Linked DNA regions of Lytechinus pictus. The protein of the gene in region 1 purifies or fractionates together with the protein of each later gene. This does not show direct contact. Links are inferred from orthologs where the notes say so. Each region holds a gene or a part of one and is shown on either strand. Other genes may lie near its edges.

Region 1 (7,699 bases):
AAATCAATATCTTGTATGTTGTTTAAGGAATTCCTTTTGTATTTCCTTGTTTTTTACCTTGTGTTTTTCTTTGTTCTTTTCACTAGATTTATTGCAGAACTTTTTTTAAGCATGATTATGCTAAGAATTTACTTCAGTTGATAAAAGAAAAACTGTAAAAATAACCATATCTCTTGGAATGAGATAATAAAAATCAACTTTACATTGATTTGACTTTGTACACAAATTCATGTTTTGGAGCAATTTGTGGTCTGATATGCACTTATGTCAGGCCTGACTTGCGTAATGTTGCATAATTTTGCAACCGGGTACCTGAGTATCACAAATTAGGTCACCAAAGATGTGCAAGACTTAAAGGGGAAGTTCACCCTGAAGAAAAGATTGTTGTAAAATAGCAGCAAAAGTAATAAAAAATATTGCCGAAGGTTTGAGGAAAAACCGTTAAAGATTAAGAAAGTTATTAGAATTCAAAGTTCTGGATTTGTGACGTCATAAACGAGCAGCTGCCCCATATGTTATGTAATATAAAATGCATGAATTTTAAATTTTGTATGGTTCCCGATGACTTAATTTTGTTTCTATTCATGATCGGGTGTGAAATGATTTGTATATTGATATACGAAAGGGACAGTAAAAAACCATTTTCAATTTTCTGAGAAAATGAGATTTCATTAATTTTTACCATTCGCTATGTAGGAATGCTGCTCGCATATGACGTCACAAATCAAATAATTAAAATTCTAATAACTTTTTAATTCTTTGATGAATTTTTCTCAAACCTTCGGCAATATTTTTAATTATTTTTTCTGCTATTTAAAAACAAACCTTTTGTCAGGGTGAACTTCCCCTTTAAAAGTAAAACATTAATGTTTGATCAATACATCACTTTTTTCATTCAATTATACTCTCTTGAATTTAATGTATTTCAAATTTCTATACTTCTACAATTAACACTTGGGCTGTCATTTTATTGGATTCTGAAATTCTATTCAAAATACAGTACATGCCAAAAGTTTTGGGCCACCCTTAAATTTAAAAGATAATCATACATAATACTGCATTCTGCATATAATCATATGTTTAGATACTGAACGGGCTATGACAGCTAGGTTCATTACATCACAAAAGCATGTTTCCAACCAGTTTTGACTGCTCTTTTGTGAACCCCAGTCGGTTTTCAGAATATATTCAAATTTAAACTTTAAAGGTATGCATAAAATTTCAATTTAAACCAAAGGTTGTTTTTGACAACCTGAAAGTTTGTTCAAGGCTTGTTCTGACATAGCAAAAAAAATATATGCAAACTGGATACTAGTAGAAGATATTTGAAGGTTTACATGGTGGCATGAACAGTCGCTGAAGTGGTTTTTACGGTACACCATATATAAAGTCTTGGCAAGGAGAGATAAAAGTGGATAGAGGTAGAAGAGAACTAGAGAGGCGAGAAAGTGGAGGTTAGAAAGTAGAGTGAGTATGTTTTGGAAATTAGTGTAGTCTTAAAGAGGACCGTAAACCAGAAATAGTGCCAAGCTTGAGCGGTAGGCAGGATGAGAGGCTTGAGTAGAAGGCTTGTTGAATTGGAGGGGTGAGAGAGGATTGAGTAGATGAGAGAAGGCTGGCTTGAGTTGGCGAGTTGAGTTGTAGAGCAGGAGAGAAGACTTGACGTTTGAGGCAGGTTGACTGTCCGATTGACAGGTTAACATGTATGATGTGTTGCTATGTCAGACCAGCCTTGGTCAAGCTTTCAGGTTGTCAAAAAACAACCTTTGCTTTAAATATATTCAAATTTTATGCATACCTTTGAAGTTTAAATTTGAATATATTATGAAAACCGACTAGGGCTCACAGAACTGCACTCAAAACCGGTTGGAAACATGCTTGTGTGATGTTTTGAACCTAGCTGGCATAGCCTATTCAGTATCAATACATTTGATTATATGCAGAATGCAGTGTTACGTATGATTATCTTCTAAATCTGAGGATGGACCCAAACTTTTGGCCTGTACTGTTATTGTTTAGATTGTCACCACTAATACTGGCTTGTTTATGTTTAAAGGTCAAGTCCACCTCAGAAAAATGTTGATTTGAATAAAAAGAGAAAAATTCAACAAGCACAATGCTGAAAATTTCATCAAAATCTGATGTAAAATAAGAAAGTTATGACATTTCAAAGTTTCGCTCTTTTTTAACAAAATAGTTATATGAACGAGCCAGTTACATCCAAATGAGAGAGTCGATGATGTCACTCACTCACTATTTCTTTTGTTTTTTATAAGCCTGAGTCATATCGATTATTTTGAAAACCGATGTTTGACAGCTTTAATTCGATCGAACATCGATGCATCGAAATTTGAAGGCGGGGAAAATCAAGTCATTTTTTTGGCTCCGGCCGGCCGTCGATGCATGCGCTATGCATGCACTATACATGCACTGACTGTCTGCGCTGGCCGGGTGAGCGTTGCAAAAGCAGATGACAGAGCAAAGTTCGTATGTATTTTCCATGATCACAAAACACAAAAAAGGCCGGGGAGCAATGCAGAATTCTTCCCAAAATATCTTCAACAATGATATTTGCAGATGATAACATATAAGTTTAAAATGAAACAATATTAAAGACATGAATCACGCAGAGTCGATCCGAATGATTTTCGGTCAACACGCATTCGCAGTCCAGACTCGCCCACACCACCCCTTCCGCAGCCAGCCCCGTACACTCACTCTCCCGAAACGACAGGCGTGCTTGCCAGCGCCATCTAACAAGTGCAAACAGCGGGGAGAGCGCTGTAACTTGCCTGAGATTGTGTAGTTGGATCCAAAATTAGCTCCAAATAAATTGATGGGAATAAATACGTAATTTTATCTGGATGGTCATTTGAATTGGTATTCAATGCTGATATAACGATTGTGAGGAAAGATTGTGGAATATGAGTTCTGGCGATGTTCGAGACTTTATAATCCTGATAATGATAATCCATTTTTTTAGACACAAGCGCTTGTGATCGAAATAAATACGAATGTCTCGGATCGATCTCTAAATTCATATAAATTATTATTGGATGTTAAATAATTACGATTTAATAAGATTTTATGGCCATACTAAAAATATTGACGACGTCAGCAAAGTATGTTGTGTTCATATGGAAGAATTCATTAATAGTATTATACTGGCATTATTTTTATTTTTTATTCCATCTCTGGACGTCTCTGAGCTCCAAGAAAAGAAGCACAATGCGCATGCGCATTCGATGACGTCTGACATATTTTCCATTCATGAAATCAGAGCCCAAAGTTGGGCACAAACGAGCTTCAAATTGATGGGAAAAAAATATCAAACATAATTTTTCTCTGTTTTGTCATGTAAAATATTATTATATGGTGATATTACGATCTTCAAAAGAGTTTCTACATGTTGACAATGTTCGATAATCAATCCTGACGTGATAATTATTTTTTTAGGCAAGTGCACTCACTCAAGTCGATCGTCATGTGATGTCCGCCATTTAAAATTGAAACGAAATACAAACGTTTCACATCAAGCTCTAAATTCATATTAATGATTATCATATGCAAATTATTGTTAAATATTACAATTAAATCATGTTCTATGGTCATGATATTAATATTGTTCATGAAAGCAAGATTTACTTTACGTTGATCGCGTCAATTTTCCGGCCATTTTCTGATTTGATTAAAGCACAGTACTGCGCATGCACGATCAATGGCGACTTCCATTCATAAATTCATCGTGCATAAATTATCTCGGCACGAGCAGGCGAGCCGGGCAGACGAGTAAGACTCGAACTATGATCAAAATAAACTTCAAATTAATGGTGAATAGGCATCATAATTACACAATCGGTTTCATTTTGGGGGCAATATAAATGAAGTAAGTAGTAGTCAAGTTGGATATTACTGTTTATTTTGATGTTTGATTGTGTGAACCAAACGAATCGGCCGGCCGACATATATTTTTTTTTTTTTTCGATGCACCGATTTTGCAAAATCTGCACCGGCGTTCGATGACATCGATCGAACACCGATTTTAAAATCGATTCGACTCAGGCTTAGTTTTTTATTGTTTGAATTATAAAATATTTCAATTTTTACGAATTTGATGATTAGGACCTCCTTGCCTGAAGCACAAAATGTTAAAATAATGGAATTCCACGTGTTCAGGGAGGAATGAAACTTCATTTCACATGACAATGACGAGAAAATCAAAATATTTCATATTTCATATAATAAAATACAAAAGAAATAGTGAGTGAGTGATGTCATCAGTTCCCTCATTTGCATACTGACCGAGATGTGCATATAACTGTTTTGTGAAATGAAGCGAAACTTTAAAATGTCATAACTTTCTTATTTTACATCCGATTTTGATGAAATTTTCAGTGTTTTGCTTGTTGAATTTTTCTCTTTTTATTCAAATCAAGTTTTTGTTGGGGTGGACTTGTCCTTTAAGAAGTTCAGTGTTTTAAACTGAAGTTATTAATATGATGAATGGTTACTGTGGTTTATGGCTTCAATTATTTGTCACAACTCTGTTATATACAATGATTATGTCATATCTTTTTTATTTGTTTATATTCCAGTTTTATAATGATGATGAAGCAAGGAAATACACATCTAAGTAAGTATATTCACTGCTTAATCAGATAGAGAAGTTATGCTAAGTTTTACTTCACTTGTTCACACAACACTGAAGAAAATAGTGAAGCTGTTGATAAAACCTTTCTCCAGTCATCCTGTGTACAAGAGATTTGCACAAAGTGTGTTGCTTCATGTACATTTTTCATCCCTTATTTTCTGAGGATAAGTATTGTTGTTGGTGTATAATGAAAACATGTTCTTTCACCAAGTCTCTTTTTTTTAAAAGCTTCCGCCGACCGTATGTGGTTGTGGAGGCGTAGTGTTTTTGGGTCGCCTGTCTGCCCCCTTTTGTTCTCTTGATAACTCACTGTTTGACGTACTGACTTCATATTTGGATCATACATTTGGGACTGACGATGAACTGCTTTGTTTTGGGGGTATGGAGGTGAGATGTTTAAGGTCTCGGAGGTCATTGTACACCTTAAAATGCATTGCACTGTTCATTTAATGACTCAAGAACCCGTTGACCGATCAACTTCATACTTTTTATCTCCTTTAATTCTATAGTTCAAGAATGATAGAGATTCAAATGACCATGTCTGAGAGAGCAATAGAACTCCTGTCTCTTCCCGAAGACACTCCTTCCTTCATTTTGGATATTGGGTAAGTTCCAATTGTTTAGACACCTCACCGAAAGTCCGTGCATGGTCATTCAGCATGAATCCTGTCATAAAGGCACTTTTCGGCTTTCAAGTGGGCTTACCGGCCTTTCATGCATTTGTTTTTGTCAATGTTGAAATATGAGGATTATCATTGACAGGGTTCCCAGCCCATCAGGGAAATGAGGGAAAATTATTTTACTTTTTTCCAGTCAGGGAAAAATCGGAATTTGATAAAAATACCTCAAATCAGGGAAAAATGCCTCAAATGAGGGAAAAATAAGGGAATTTTTTTGATCGGCCCAAAAGGAGAGAGCACGGTAGTCAGTCAGACTCTTATATTTTGTTGCATATCAAAACAACATCCATTGATTGACTGGTTATTGTGATTATGGGGTATGGTGGATGGCTTGATGGGGGAGAAGGGAGGCCATTATATGCCTGTGTAATAGCACTAATTAGTTTTACATGTACATTATTGTTTTTATACTGAAAATACATGTAATTCACTGCAACAACTTCGAAAACATGCGAAATTGGGAACGGGTTTAAATAATTATCAGGGAATTTTCAAACTTTATCAGAGAAAAATCCGAATTTTTTTTCTTGAAAAGCTGGGAACCCTGATTGAAACATTGTTTTGTTTTTGAAAAAACTATGAAGATTAACAATGAAACACATTTTGCGGGATTCCTGCTTGAAAGTCTAGCTCTCAATCTTGGTACATTGTCTCATTCTGCAACCAGTCAAATTCATTTAGTCTCACAGGAGACTATGGTATAACAGGCATTCTATGTAGTACTAGCTAAGATTTTGAGACGTTCATTTAATTTTTTTAGCAACCCCAGGCCCTGTAACATAGAGCTTCGTGATTGATCTTGTGTCAGATTTTGATGATTGATCATACACAATGATCAATGCAATCAATCATGGAAACCAGCCCCACGATCAATCGCTATGCTTTATGTTACCGGGCCCAGGGTCCCGTCTTACAAAGAGTTACGATTGATCTGATCAATCACAACTATGGACGGCCAGCAATGTCAACATGTATTATGCATGTTTGTTAAATAGAATTTTCTATTCATGCATTTGTTGTTTTCTTAAAAATTTACTGTGCTTCTCTTTGTTTACAAAGGACATTGTGCAAATATTCTGTAGATAAAATTATGGTATAGATGGATTTCCATAGAGTTACGTTTGATTGGATCAATTGTAACTCTTTGTAAGATGGGCCTTACAAAGAGTTGCGATTGATCCAATCAATCAGAACTATGGAAAGCCAGCAAAGTCAGAACTTCAGAATTAAATATTTACCTGATAATGTGTTTTAGTGAACAATCACATTTTGTTTGAAAGAATATGTATATGTTTGGGTTATAATAATTACACCACTTTCCTACTAAACTCCCATACAGTATTATAGTCTAATAATTATTTCCCAGGCTGTATAGTTGACACTTGTTTTATTTTCTCTCGACTCAATTTTTTTTTCCACCTTTGTAGTTGTGGTTCTGGTTTGAGTGGGGAAGCTCTGACAGAGCAAGGTCATCACTGGGTAGGAATGGATATCAGTTCAAGCATGTTAGGTAAGTTTGAATCTCTGTGCAGTTAATACAGGAACTGGTTATTTGTTATCTGTGTTCACTTCAGTTGAGGTTTCATAACCCAAAGTCAAAGCGGCACTTCACGCAGGAATCCTTTGCATCTCCTTTCTTGCTAATGACCACATTCGTCATCTAGACAATGCAATGGGGACTGTGGGGGTCGTCGCTGTGAAAGATGCATAGTGCCTATGAGGTGGGAGCCAAAGACATATCTCTTCCATAGCAGCTTTCTTGCATTCTCCATTGTTTTGTTTATGATGAACGTTAGGATTAGTCCTGAAAAGACGTTTGCAAGATTCCAATAAGAAAGATGCGGCTCTCACTTTTGGTAAGGTGCTTTGATTTAATTTCTGTTTGAGAACGTAAAAGCACATCCAGTGTAATAGTCTAGATAATAATCATGCATTTTTTAAAAGTAAATGTGAATAAAAAAACCCAGTCAATCAAACAATAGTAGCTTTTAGTGATTATTATTAGTTTGTACAAGAACTACTGCTGATGGGTGTTTCATAAAGCTGTTCGTAAGTTAAAGGACAAGTCCACCCCAACAAAAAGTTAATTAAAATAAAAAGAGAAAAATCCAACAAGCATAACACTGAAAATTTCATCAAAATCGGATGTAAAATAAGAAAGTTATGACATTTTCGCTTAATTTCACAAAACAGTTAAATGCACATCCCGGTCGGTATGTATATGAGGGAAGTGATGACATCACTCACTCACTATTTTGTATTCTATAATATGAAATATTCTAATTCTCTCCTCACTATCCTGTGAAACAAAGTTTTATTTTTCCCTGAACATGTGGAATTACCATTGTTTAATATTTTGGTTCAGTCA
Region 2 (6,990 bases), on another chromosome or scaffold:
GAGTTAAGGTGTATCCTAACAACAAGCCGTGGGTTAATAAAGAACTTTGCGATTTACTCAGGGAGAAGGGTGCAGCGCTTTCGACAGGAAATACGGAGTTACTGAGAGAAACCCAATGAAAAATCAAGCAGCAGACGGAAAAATGTAAAAGTTCCTACAAAGAAAAGATTGAACGGAACTCTTGAGATAATAACCCCAGAAAGGCATGGAAAACAATGCAGGATATTACTCGATACAACAAAGATAAATCAAAATCTGTGCCAACAGAACAAGATATTGGTTTTGTTGATGATCTAAATAATTTTTAATGTCGTTTTGATGTTGAAAATTTTGGTAGTGAAAATGAAGGAATCAAAAGTAAGGTGAACGAGATGCCTGATCAAACACCTATCCAAATTTCTGAGCATGACGTAAGAAGAATATTTTCAGGCTTACAAACACACAAATCTCCCAGGCCAGATGGCCTAGGTAACAAGGTACTTAAAGGTCAAGTCCACCCCAGTAAAATATTGATTTGAATAAATAGAGAAAAATCAGACTGGCACAACATTGAAAATTTCATCAAAATCGGATGAAAAACAAAAAAGTTATGACATTTTAAAACGTTTGCTTGTCAAAACGGAGCCTTAATAATCCAAAATCACTTAGCTTATAGTTGTGAATTATAGCTTTTTAATTTCTTTCTTGGAGAGGGGTAATTTTTTTTTATAAATTTATTACTAATTGATCTGAATTCTCTCTTTCTCCATCTCTCTCTCTCTCTCTATTTTTGTATTTTTATTTTACTCATTCTATGCTCAACTCAGCGATATGCAAATGAGAGAGTTGATGATGTCACTCACTGGCTATTTCTTTTGTTTTTATTGTTTGAATTATACAATATTTCATTTTTTTACGGATATGACAATTATGACCATCTTGTTCGAACCACAAAATGTAAAAACAATCAAATTCCACATGTTAAGGGAGGAACGAAACTTTGCTCACATGACAATGAGGAGAAAATTCAAATATTTCATATAATATGATACAAAAGAAATAGTGAGTGGGTTATGGTCAATTCCAGCGCAACGGACATGACGTTCAGACAAATTTTTATAATTCAAAGGTAAATACAGTAGAATTAGCAGTCTTTTGATAATTGTTACTGAGCTTATCAGACACATTTAAGTATCAGTTACATACACATGAAATTTCAAATCGTTTCGTTGAACAGTTGCTGAGAAATTGCACTCTTTGTGAGCGTAACGGACATGACACGAAATGGACGAAGCATTTTTACCTCCTATTGCTTATCAAAATTCCTGTGAATTCTTAGATTGCATGCACCTGATGTTGGTGTTGATTTAACCTTAAGATCATGCTCTATCCATAAAATAGTGTTTAACAACAGTTTTGCAGTGCATTCTGTATTCATAGCTCAAAATGTAGCGTAACGGACATGACACACGAAGCGTAACGGACATGACACACGAAGCGTAACGGACATGACAGTTTCGTCCACTTTTTGTAAGCAAATATAATTATTTTATTACAAGATATGGTACAAGTCTAATTGTTTACATGTTAAGGCTAGAGGTTAGAGACACACATCATAACTGGTAATCTGTAATATCTCCTATTATTTTGCAATTTGAGAGAGGGGCTTTTCGTACAATATTTATAAAACAAACAAATATTTAGAAAAATTTATTTTTCACCAATTAACAACAGTTAATGAGTATTTTCCAGTTACTACCATCTGCAACACCAAACTAAAAGAGAAAAAGTTGATAGTAAAGATTATCTTTTAGTCATGGCTTACTATTTGACAATGTACTTAGCGTAACGGACATGACACCCTTACGAAGTGAACTTCATCAGCACTTCTTAGTTTCAAAATGAAAGAAATATGAATGAATGAATGTAATTATGTAACAGCAAAGTACCTTTACTAACATTCTAAAGAAAAATATGTAGATATTATTGGCAGGTATTATTAATTTAATAGCTAAAGCCTACATGATAATTTTATATAGAATACAATGCTTAATAGTACCGCTACGGCCTACGGCACACTGAGAAGACCAAATCTCATTTTTTGTGAGAAGAAAACAAAATGTACCAGACCTGTATAAATCCAAGATGAACATATGAAATATATTTTATGATAAAGAATAATATGAACTAGTATTAATGTCAGTTTTAAGATAAAAAAATGATATTAAAAAGTATTTTAAAATTTAATAGCAGTACCTGGAAACCAGTCTTTCATTATCGATTATGTATGAGTTGAAAGGTAATCGGAATGTTTGTAAATCGCTTCTGAGATTTTTTTTCATTCAAAATAAATATCATCCTGAGTATAATCATCCTTTCATCAATTCTTGGATGTTCTAAATCTTACTATCTTGCTTGCTGACAAATGTGGCTGTATCTAATTATGTTGCATTGTCCGTGCTGCTTGTGTACAAATGAAGATACATCATTCAAATCGTGATTATGGCTGACCAAAATACTATGATGACATAATTTATTGATAGCGCCACATTCCTTCCATAGCCCCTTTGCTTTGTGATATTGCAAAGAAGTGCCACTGTAGATTCATGGATTCATAGAGCTACATCATGTAACACAGATATCTGAATACAAACTTGTTTTTAAATGTGAGCCCGTGCCATCACTGAAGAAGTTGAGGTTGGTGAAAGTCAGATACTTTGAAGCAATATCATCAATGATCTCATGAATTCACAAGTTGGAATTTTATCATGCTCCAAACTGTCAGTGCAAACACCTAAGATAATCAATCGTATTGTTCAAACACAAATGATACAGATTGTGATCTGAGTATGTTGCCAGATCTAGCTGCATCTTATCCTAATATTATGTGGCATATTGTTAATTCTCAGAAAAATATACCAGAACAAGAGCTGAACTTTCATCATTCACCAACTTCGAAAAATAGCTTGAATGACATGCAGATTTTAGGAGTTATTACATCCAGCTATCCTCAAGCAATTGAGACTGACCTCAGTCTGTGACACTGAGCCTAATATTTTGTTTTTGTGAATGCTACCTTTTGTCGTATATAAGGCGTCATGTCCGTTACACGATTTGTCATGTCCGTTACGCCATTTTTATGAAAATGAGAAGTGGTAAGGGAAAATGATTGCTACACATGGTAGGGGGATTAATTCTAACATAGAATCTGAATCTGCAGTACCTTCAGACAAATTTCCTGTAAGCTGTGAAAACTTTAAGTGAAAAACGTAACGGACATGACACTGAAAATGATAAAGAAATCACACAAATCTGAAGATCGATTTCTTTAAAATTGATGAATGGCATAAAATTTAATGATGATTTTGTATTGATGTAAACATTAATCAACTATTCAGAAGTTAAAAGAGACCTCTGGGACCTTATTTGCTTTTAGTAGAGACAGAAAAGATGAATTGTTTAAAAATAGCCACGTTTTTTAGATTTTGCAATTTACTATTCAATTTTTTTTATGATGGAAAAAAATACAAAATTTTATCAATATTGCAATTTTTCTATTGGAAATTGAAACTTTATAGATTACTTTTTAAGAAAATTTAACTGCTTAAGTGAAATCTGAAACTTCATTTTTTCTCTAAAGTGAACATTTTCCATGGAATTGCCCTTATGTCATCAGTCCCCTCATTTATAGTGACCAGGGGGGTGTTTCATCAATATTTTCGTCCGACAACTGTCAGCGCTGACTAAAATTGTCAGCGCTGACAATTTAGTCAGCGCTGACAAAAATTCGTTTCATCAAACTCTCGGAGCTCCTCTGACTATTGTCAGAGAATTTTTATTTTACAAATCGTCTTGAACGAGGTTCGCTGACTAATTAGGCCACGCCCACTCCCAAAGTCGTGAAAAAGATGTAAAATTGATTGATGTTTTCGCCACGACGATTCGAAATGAAACGAAGAAATGAGAAGAAGCGAAGGTCCTCGTAGAGGTGAATGAGGATTTTACCGTAAGTAAAACCCTTCAAAATGTCGTTCATATTGTATGTAAGGTGATTGAATTATTCGTTGTGCGTGATTATCAAATGAATTACAAGAAAAGAGGATCTTCTGGCAGGACCCCTGTCGATACGATCGGTGAACTTGACAGTACAAAATCCAGTCTAGTCCCATACCCGTGTTTCTGTGTCTGTAGAACTATCTCAGGTCCAAACTAACGACACGGCTCACGGCTGTCACGTTTTTATGATCCGCACATGGCTGCAATGTTATAAATTTTGCAAAGAGAATTCTTTATATTGTTCTACCTTTATGTCATTCTATGTTGCAAATCATATTTTTTCATTTCCTTTGGTTTTGTAATAATTTTGTTGCTCGGTGTAGTCGGAGATTGGCTTGATCACCAGGCAAACCAGCGTGTGCAATTGTAAATGTACACATATCCAATGGGGCCATCCTAATTCTGTGTTACAGAAATTGGAATTGAACAGGAGCTAAATCACATGGTAATAGTGTGAGTGGTAAATTTGTAAAGTGGATGTTCTCAACTATTAATGTAGGCTTAGCCTTAGCAAGTCACAAGTCGAATGAAGTGAAGGCTCTCGACAGCTGTCGAGGATTCGGGCGGGGGGGGGGGGGTGATGCGATTGTGGCAGAGGTGCGTTCACACCCAATAAAAATTAAAATCTAGATATAAAAAAATTATTAGATCTAAGTTTTAAATAGTGCAACCGGCCCGTGGCCGTACTGGTATAGCTTATAGGCCTAGATCTATCTTAAATTATCTTTGACTTTGCGCACCCAAGTGAAATGAGCCATTTCATAGCTCCCTTTAAAAAAAAATATTGATCGTCCAATTTGGGGGAGACGAAATAATGCTCTTCATTTGTGTGCGATTATGAAGTTTGTTTGGCTTTTATTTTTCTAAGTCAATTTTTTAGACAAATTACTATTTAGCATGAATCTGCAATAGCATCGGTGTTATTGGGGTAAATAAATTAAATTATTGTTGATAATGTCTCTTAATCTATTTTTTGAAAAATACTGTCGTACCACATAAAGTTAGAGTCTAGTCATACCTAACCTTAAATAGCATGTAAAGGTTAAAGGTCTCTTCATTAGAAAAAAATATAGGAGAATATGGAATGGATCTCATCAATCCCAAGTATTTTTCTGCCTTGAATCTCATATTAAAGTTCCATTGAACAAAGGTCACAGTCCAGAAATAGTTGACAGTTTGATGGTTTGATGGGGATGCAATTTGCTGCAGTTATGAATTAGGAGCCTATTCATATTTTTTATTAATTTGATTGTGGCTTTTAACCGGCAAGGTATCCAAGCGCTATTGAGTTTGAAAAAAACTTTTATTTTTATTTTTTAATTTAAAAAAAAAATTATTGAAAAAGCTGTTTTACTATTTTGTATGGTTAATGTGTTAATTACCGTCTTGTTTATAATCAAGTGAAAATTATATGAATTAACAAGGATAAATTGTTGACCGATTGTTGGTAAATTCTATAAATTTCAGGATAATAAAAGAAGAAAAATGATTGGTATATTCGATCATTCCCCTTTATGAAATGTCAACAATATTCATTGAAAGTGCAGTATTTTTCAATGATCACTGTAAATCTACATATTTTCTTTGCTACATGTATAACAATGTGATATTATTAATATTTTAATTTCAGACTATGGACATTTGAACAGTATGCAGAAGAAGACGGATCTGGAACTAGAAAGCAAGGCTCTGACTGGTCTACTACAGCAAGGAATGTGCCAGCGGCCAATTTGATGAACATGTGACAGAAGATTTGGCAATGGGTGAAGAAATACCGAGATTGAAATGCAACCACAGGTAACATGTAGACTAGTAAAATGCGATAATGATTAAAAAATAATGAAGGATATTGTTTTGGTTGCAGAATGTAAAATCATAAAAACCCACATCAATGACAATGAAATCGGACTGTGACCGGATTTTCTATTTAAAGTCAGTTTGAAATGCAAACATTACATAAGCATGAAAGACATAATAGATTCAATATATTTTGCATGTTAGCTGCAGGGTCAGCAGAACGGTTTTGAAAGTGAGGGGGCTGAGCCGAAAGTGGGGGGGGGGGGGGGGGGCTGACCAATGCAAAAAATCATAAGCAGATGGTCAATTTTACATTTTTGTACATGGTTTTGGAAAACAGTGCGGGGGCTGAAAAATATGAAATGACCATCTGGTTACGATTTTTTGCATGGTCAGCCCGTTCACTGTAAAAACCGTTCCGCTGACCCTGCAGCTAACATGCACCCCCCCCCCCCCCGCCGGTTTCCGGAGCCCCTGCTCTCACCCCTCAATCCATTTAGCACTACTTGCTCATGTGTATGTACATACAAGCTACATTGTGAGGAATAATTTCACTTTTTAAGTTTCTCAGCCAGAGCATATGTCATTTTTACTATTGTTTGTATTTTTTATTAACATAATAAAAACTTGAACCCTTTATTTACCCCCTTCTATATGAAACCTGGTAATCAAAAGATGTTTTATTTCCTGTTTTTAGACATGTACATATACATGTGAGAAGAAATACCAGATTATGGCAAATATTTTAATTAGTTATTTCAATACTATTTTTCCTTCAGGTGGAGGCTTCAACCAAACTTTTCAGACAGACATGAGATACAAAGTTACACAAGTATAAATGGTTGAAGGTTTAGGAGAGCCAGACAAGAAGGCAGGAAATGTGATGTCACTTGTAAGTTAAAACACTCTTAATTATGACTGCCTCACTTTGGCGAAGAAAGTAAAGTCACATTAAAAAAAATATTAAATTACTGGTACTGCTCTCTTCTTTATTTGTTCTACTCAAATATTTGAAAACAATGACATCTATAAGTGCTTAGATGCTTAATTGATTAATGGTGATATTTATTGGACAGTTGTAAAACAACCAATATCAATCAATGCTAGATGGTGTGACTTGCTTTCTATTGCCAAAGTAGTAAATGAATGTTCCATTGT
Region 3 (7,954 bases), on another chromosome or scaffold:
CGACCAGTCATATTTGACTATTACCGCCAACTCGTTAGGCCAACTATTATTTTCTTGTTTTTCTTCGACGTGTCCTTTAAAATCGTTCCTCTCCTTCTTTCTTTGTTTTTTTTTCTAATTATTATTATTATAAAGACTATCGTATCTTACAGGTTACCACATGATCCCGTCCCTTCTTACGACACCGTCCAGACATCGTCCTATCTCTCCGGTGTAGACAGGGGCTCCCTTTGGGATACTCTATAGTCTTGAAACTCGGAAAAGAAATAAAGAAATAAACTGTTAAAGAGTCTTTTCCCGTGAAATGATCTCGCATATACCAATCAAATACATGTATGTCCGTTTTGTTTTGTAAAGAAAAAAGATAAAATTTGATATAGAAAAAAGATAAAATTTGATATGGGGAGGTTCGGATGATTCGAAATTTATGGGGGCATCCAAAATGAGGGCTTTAATAAATGAGATGGCACATTGTTAAATCAAGGTTGTAAGTTATATGGACATGGAGATGGTGTTAGTAAACAAGATATATATATATATAACACACATGCATATACATATTTTTTCCCTTTCTTCCATTTCTTCATCTTTATTCCTTTTCCTTTAATTTCTTCTCCTTTTCTTTCCATTCTTCTTTTTTTTCTTTTTTTTCTCCTCCTTCCTTTCCTTTTCCTTTCTTTTCCCTTTCATTTTCTCTTACTTTCCTTTGTCTTTCTTTTTTTTCTCTTCTTCTTTTTTTTCAAAATGGATAATAACCGGGGATAATAAGCTCTACTGAATACAAAGAATATAACCTAGACTAGTATCCCGTAATTAGTAACCAACTGGAATAAAATTATTGGAAATGGTTTTTTGACTGATTTGAGTAGGTATGGGTGTCAACATTTACCCAAAAAAAGTTAGGAGGAATACGGGTTGGGGAAAGTGCTTTTTTTCAAGGTCAAAGGTCAATGACCTTTTTAAATATACTGTATCATGGTAGCTCCCAGATAAAATATTACAGGTTGGTGATCATGGTGTCAAAATGCACAGATTCTTACAAGAAGATCAAATAAAATCAAATCAAGTACCTACAATGCTCATTCACCCATGAAATTCAAGGTCAAAGCCTTTCAAAGTTCAATGACCTTTATTACATTATATACCATATACGGTATAATGGTATCTCTGAGATGAAAAGGTTTCAGGTTGGTGATCTAGGTGTCAAAATGCAGAGGTTCTTACAGGAAGATCAAATAAAATCAAATTAATTACCCAGAATGCACATTAAACAATAAAATTCAAGGTCAAAGCCTTTCAAAGGTCAATGACCTTTTTTCTACATCATATACCATATACGGTATAATGCTATCTCTCAGATGAAAAGGCGCAGGTTGGTGATCTTGGTTTCAAAATGCACAGATTCTTACAAGAAGATCAAATGAAATCAAATCAAGTACCTACAATGCTCATTCACCGAATGAATGAAATTCAAGGTCAAAGCTTTCAAAGCTCAATTACTTTTTTTTACATTGTATACCATATACGGTATAATGGTATCTCTGAGATGAAAAGGTGCAGGTTGGTGATCTTGGTGTCAAAATGCAGAGGTTCTTACAGGAAGATCAAATAAAATAGAATTAAGTACCCAGAATGCACATTAAACTATAAAATTCAAGGTAAAAGCCTTTCAAAGGTCAATGACCTTTTTTACATTATGTATCATACTGTATAATAGTATCTCTGAGATGAAACGGCACAGGTTGGTGATCGTTGGATCAAAATTCCCAGATTCTTACAGGAAGATCAAATAAGATAAAGTTAATCACCTAGAATGCATACTAACCCATAAAGTTCAAGGTCAAAGGTCAGTGACCTTTTTACATAGGCTATATATCGTCTAAAGGTATCTCTGAGATAAAACGCTGCATGTTGGTGATTTTGATGTCAATTCAATTTTTGCAAGAAGATAAAAAAGACTCAAAATAATCATACAGAATAATCCAATATCCAAAGTCAAAGGTCAAAAGTTGATAAATATTTATATATCCATGCATGATTCCCCCCAAAAAGAAATTAATCCATTATATTCACATTTTATTTGTGAATAATAGAAAGAAAGATAACTATTTGTAATGAACACTTGGAAGTCTAATAATTTCACTCTGAAAGAAATAAGGATAAAAAATGGCCATGGAAAATATATTTAGGAGTTAAAGGTCAATCAACTATGTCAATAGCGTCAGGGAATTTAAGTAAATAGGTCGATATAACGTGATTGTGGCATGTAGGTATAGTGATTCTGATGGGAAAAAGACTGACCTGCGTGGAAAAAGAACACAAATTTAATAGTTGAATCCTTGACCAATGATGATGTCAAAATACAAGTTCGAGGTACAAATTGGATCAAATAGCACTTTTTCTTATAATATACTGTAATGCATTGACAAAAGTGTTTAAAAAAAATCATGTGTGATATAATTTGAAATGGTGACAATGGTGAAGTTACCTAAAGTAGCAGCATTTAGATATGCATTTTATAAATCTAAATCAAGGTACTAATTTCTCTGTAGCAATAGGTCACTAACCTCAAATGCTACAATCAATACTATAACACTATAACTTAATCTGTAAATGGAAAGGATAGGCCTAAGTCTCATGGCAAGCATCATCCGAGAACATTTGCATATAGCCAGGGACAATGACGAAGAATTAAAATAAGGCAATCATTAGAGCTGCAGCTTTTTTTGTCATAGATGAAGTTAAGTGTCTCAACTTCAGCAAAGAGTAATTGGACTCTTGAAAACCTTCTGACATTTTCAAGACTTTGATATGGCCCATTCAATGAAAGCCTAACGTTCTGTCAAGGGATATCAGACCAGGATCTATATTATTACTGATAATTGCACAGCTTGATTCTCAAGAACTGGAAGTGGTGCTATGAGTTTTGTTAGGTCGATGGATGTGTACTTGTAAGCTATTATCTCCTTTTGAATGGCATTGTTATATGCCTAATTTGTGCATGCTAACAATCAGTTTTCTGGACCAAAAACATGATCCTTGTACAAACTGATACCTAGTAGAAATAGCATCATGGGTGACGTACGGCAGAGAGCAGATATGAAGGTTTGTCTTGCAGCATTAGCATCACAAGAGATTCTGGCAGCTCGCAATGAACTGATGAAAGGTACTAATAATACGGGAATTTACCTTTGTTGAAGTTGATATATATATAATTTACTACATGTATATGACAGAAGCTGCAGCTCTAATGATGGCCTTCATTTCATCATCATCCCTCTGCTGTTTGGAAATGCTCTCAGATGATGCTTGCTGTGACATGAGAGTTAGACCTGTCCTATCCATTTTCAGAAGATTAAGCTAATAGTTTATAGTATTTATTATAGCATTGAGATGAGTGGCCTATCGCTGGAGAGAAAAGACACGACAACCTTGATTTAGATATAATGATGCATTAAATGCTGCTACTTAAGATAAAAATCATTTCAAATTATATACTTGATTTCATGTATTTTTTCAGTGCTTTTGGCAATGCATCGCAGTATATGAAAAAGTGTTATTTGGTTATCAACTTTTTAAACTTCATTTCCACTGATATTTTGGAAAGGGCTCATTGACCTCTGACCCCAAAATACATTCTCCATGGCCTTCATTATTTCAGACCGAAATTATGAAACCTCCATGTTTTCATTACAAATTAGCCATGGTTATTTACATATTATTCAGATATAAAATATGAACACAAAAGATATTGTTTTGGGTTATTTTTACATCATATAGATTATATATTTCTTCTGATCTAGGATTTCAAGGGTGAAAGTTTATTCTTTATACTTATTTTAGTGTTGTTTAATCTTCTTGTACAAGTCTTTGGATTTTGGCACCAAGATCACCAACCTGCGGTGTTTTATCTCAGAGATACCATTATTATCATCTAATGTTAAAAAGGACATTGACCTTTGTCCTTGAATTTTATGGGTGAATGTGCATTCTCTATGCTTAATTTTATTTTATCTTCCTGTAAGAATATGCGTGTTTTGACACCAAGAACACCAACCCGCACCGTTTTATCTTAGAGATACAATTATATAATATGGTATATGTAGTATAAAAGGTCATTGACCTTTGGCCTTAAATTTTATGCGTGAATGTGCATTCTAGGTACTTAATTTTATTCCATTTGATCTTCTGGTAAGAATCTGTGCATTTTGACACCATGATCACCAACCTGTGCTTTTTCATCTCAGGGATACCATTATACAGTATGGTATATAATGTAAATAGGTCATTGACCTTTGAAAAGCTTTGACCTTGAATTTTATTGGTGAATGTGCATTCTAGGTACTTAAGTTTATTTCATTTGATCTTCTTGTAAGAATCTGTACATTTTGACACCATGATCACCAGCATGTACCTTATCATCTCAGAGATACCATTATACGGTATGGTATATAATGTAAAAAAGGTCATTGACCTTTTGAAAGGCTTTGACCTTGAATTTTATAGGTGAATGTGCATTTTAGGTCATTAATTTTATTCTATTTGATATTCTGGTAAGAATTTGTGCATTTTGACACCATTATCACCAACCTGCGCCTTTCCATCTCAGAGATACCATTATACAGTATGTACGAAAAGGTCATTGACCTTTGACCTTGAAAAAAAGCACTTTCCCCAACCCGTATTCCTCCTAACTTTTTTTGGGGTAAATGTTGACACCCATACCTACTCAAATCAGTCAAAAAAACATTTCCAATAATTTTATTCCAGACTCAGAGAAGAGAGATATATTATTCTAAAACAAACAGAACAATGACCATCGTCTATGTGGCCTCATACTCATATAAAATACATATATATACACAATTACACACATATGTATCTATATGAACAAATAAGTAATTAGATACTAATCAAATAGATATTTTTCTCTATTTCCTAGTCTGAGGTATAGACTAGTTTATGTATCCCATCGTGCATTACGGTTTAAATATGGCAGCCCCCATGTCAATTGAAATGTAATGCATGCATGCACGCAATTACACGCGCATTACCATTAGATACAAGATTTCGCATCGTTGTCGTTGACGTTAGATGAGATCGACAGTAGTTAGGACAATGAAGTTACTTACACATAATATGCTGACTTCTCATGTCAAAGGAGTGAAAAATGGATACCCTTTAAAAATAGAGGTAAGATACTAAGTCAAGACTAAGATCTGAAGTGAAGATTAAACAGTTAAATAAGATTAAACAGTTAAAATAGATCTAACTTTATTTTTAAGTACCGGTAGGCCTAGACCAAAAGCTTCGGTCTGTGTTATGTTGGTTGTTCAGCTGAACTCCGTTGGCTTCACTCACCAAATACAGAGACCGAAGTTCTAGCGCGATCTGTACAGGGGACTCAATGGCCATATGTTTATGTACTTAAGATCGGATAAAACGAGGAAGTGAATTTGCGCGACAGCCGAGGTAAGTCACTGTTTTTGTTCCTTTTAACTTGATTTTTCTCCGTTTTTTGGCAATTGATGCCAAGAGGGAATATTAATTTGCATTTTGGTCGCGTGAATTTTCAAAATTTTTACTCATTAAAGACAAAAATTGAAGAGCCCCGACGGGGGGATTTTGCATTGCAAGTCCCCTAATGGTGGCTGCACGCTAGCGAGCCGTCTGTGTATGAGGAGAAATTAAAAAAAAAAAAAAATGTTAAAAAACTCCTCGAAACAGAGTAACAGACGGCTGCCAGCTGTCTACGGTAGGCCTAGAATAGATCTAACATTAAAGTTAGAACCTAACGTTAGTTAATAGTAGTGCAGACACAACTGTATTTTTCCAGTAGATGCGGTATAAAGGTATTAAAGGCATAAAGACTAAGTTTTAAGATAAGAATATAAATTTCAGAAAAGACAGAAGTGAGACTGCATCAGGGTGACCAGATTTCACAAAGTGAAATACAGATTACAGGAGAATCGACAAAGGTCAAAGCACGCTGCACAAGCGGATCGACCGAGGCCGAGCCAGGTCTTAATAAAAAGAAGATCAACAAAGAAGGCTACACTGTACACAGACACAGTGTTAGACTTGTAAGTTGTAAAAAAAATAAACAATTGGAAGGGAGGATGAACGAAAGAATGAAGGAGAGAAAGAAAAGAGATGAATTGAAAGAAGAAAGAAAGAAAAAAGGGAAAATGCAGGAAAAAAGGAAGTTAGAATAAAAGAAGGATGAAATAAAGAATAACAGAGATTAAAGGTTTCCGTCATTCTTTGAATTGAAAAAAGAAAAAGAAAAACTGAAAGAAATGGAAGATGAACAAATGTGTGAAAGAATTAAAAAATAAAGGAGAGAAAGGAAAAGGGTAAGAAAAAAGGAGGAAGCGGAAAGAAAGAATGGAGGAAAGAAAAATGTTTCCTTCAGAAAATGAAAAAGAAACAAAGAAAGAAGAAAAACAGGAAGGGAGGGAAAGAAAGAAAGAATAAGGGAAAATAATTAGAAGGGAAAAATTAAATAAAGAATGAAAGAAAGGATGAAACAGAGGGAGGAGAGAATGAAAAAAAAAGTAATGGAACTAGTAGTAGTAGATTAGAGAATGAACAAAGATAAAAAGGAGAGGAAGGGAGAAGGAAGCAAAGCAAAGTTTAAGGAAAGAAAATTAATGAAGTAAATAAAAAAAGTAAATTTAAAAAAGAAAGAAGGAAAGACAGAAAAATGAACAGAGATAGAGAGAGACTAAAAATCAGGAAATAAAGATTCATGGAATGAAAAAGGGGCAAGAAGAAAAGAACGAAAGAGGAAATAGTTCAAACTTCTATATATATATTTTTTTTTATAAAAAAAACCTAAAATGTTTAAAAAATGAAGGAGGCGCGATAGCTCAGTCAGTAGAGCGGGGGTTTCGGATTCCGGTGACCCGGGTTCGATTCCCAAGTGGTGCGCTAGTGCCCTTTGGTAAGGCATTCATCCTCATTACCAGGTCCCTCTGAGAGGACCTTAAGCCGATGGCCTCTGGTTACTTGCTCACAGGCATTCGTGCTTTCTTAGCAGTCAGGTGAAAACCTCGGTATAACAATAAAATTTCAAAGTGAAACATTGTCAAATTTAAATATTAGATGAAACAACGCAGCATGCATCACACACAAGGAATCTCTCTTAGGCCCATCCCATTACAAGATCGCATCGATCACAAGACTCAAAACAAGAGCTGAAACAATACTAGATCAATATAATTATGAAAACTTGATAACTTGTTCCTCTGATTACATCACCAAATCAGTAATATAATATCATAATAAAAATTCCCCGCCGATTTTGTGATGATTTTGGTGGAAAAACTGTTTATCATGTGAGATTGTTTGCACCATTGAGAATCTGCTCCGATCCACCATGCCGAGCTAGTAGCCTGCCACACATTCATTTGCAATGTATTCATGGTGTTGAGTTAGCAAGAAAATCACCGCAGAACTTGCACAAGTTTACAGTTATCGATTTTATTGTTATCTCTGCCCCGATCTCTGCTTCGTCATCTGTTGGTTATTTGATGAAAATTCTCCACTTTTAAATATATTAACTATATTTTGTTCAATATTCTGAAATACGGGGACAAATAGGCATCCCGTGAAGGATTTGTCGGGACGCCGGGACAAAGGAGCAAAATACGGGACGATCCCGGGAAATACGGGACGTCTGGTCACCCTGGACTGCATGGAGTTGGACTGAGTGAGACTGAGAGTGAGACGTCTTCTAATTTTGTAAAGTATTACGTTAGAACTAACGTTAGAACTTTTAGAAGAACAAAGTTAGGCCTAGCCAGGAGGCTGAGTCCTGGTAAAGAGTAAATATCATTCACCAACGTGTGTTTACTCTCCACAGAGCTCGCCGCCAGCGCCAGGGATTGCGTCCTATTCATATACGTATAGTCTACCGCGAAAAAAAATGACCGGGGTATACTATAGTATA

Evidence for each region.
Region 2: the proteins of probable 18S rRNA (guanine-N(7))-methyltransferase (region 1) and (E3-independent) E2 ubiquitin-conjugating enzyme-like purify together in Homo sapiens (affinity purification with mass spectrometry; 5 studies listed by BioGRID and IntAct, counting the BioPlex papers as one, with this or other methods). This does not show direct contact. The link is inferred for Lytechinus pictus from reciprocal best matches to the Homo sapiens genes BUD23 and UBE2O.
Region 3: the proteins of probable 18S rRNA (guanine-N(7))-methyltransferase (region 1) and multifunctional methyltransferase subunit TRM112-like protein purify together in Homo sapiens (affinity purification with mass spectrometry; 5 studies listed by BioGRID and IntAct, counting the BioPlex papers as one, with this or other methods). This does not show direct contact. The link is inferred for Lytechinus pictus from reciprocal best matches to the Homo sapiens genes BUD23 and TRMT112.

The regions. Positions count from the first base shown.
Region 1 is NC_087246.1:34,126,553-34,134,251, forward strand, and holds the start of probable 18S rRNA (guanine-N(7))-methyltransferase, read left to right. Parts: upstream 1-4,600; 5' UTR 4,601-4,633; intron 4,634-5,160; 5' UTR 5,161-5,167; coding exon 5,168-5,256; intron 5,257-6,758; coding exon 6,759-6,841; intron 6,842-7,699.
Region 2 is NC_087254.1:31,378,388-31,385,377, forward strand, and holds the start of (E3-independent) E2 ubiquitin-conjugating enzyme-like, read right to left. Parts: upstream 3,080-6,990; coding exon 3,056-3,079; intron 1-3,055. UniProt on the Homo sapiens protein: E2/E3 hybrid ubiquitin-protein ligase that displays both E2 and E3 ligase activities and mediates monoubiquitination of target proteins. Negatively regulates TRAF6-mediated NF-kappa-B activation independently of its E2 activity.
Region 3 is NC_087251.1:25,026,521-25,034,474, reverse strand, and holds the start of multifunctional methyltransferase subunit TRM112-like protein, read left to right. Parts: upstream 1-4,950; 5' UTR 4,951-5,094; coding exon 5,095-5,193; intron 5,194-7,954. UniProt on the Homo sapiens protein: Acts as an activator of both rRNA/tRNA and protein methyltransferases. Together with methyltransferase BUD23, methylates the N(7) position of a guanine in 18S rRNA.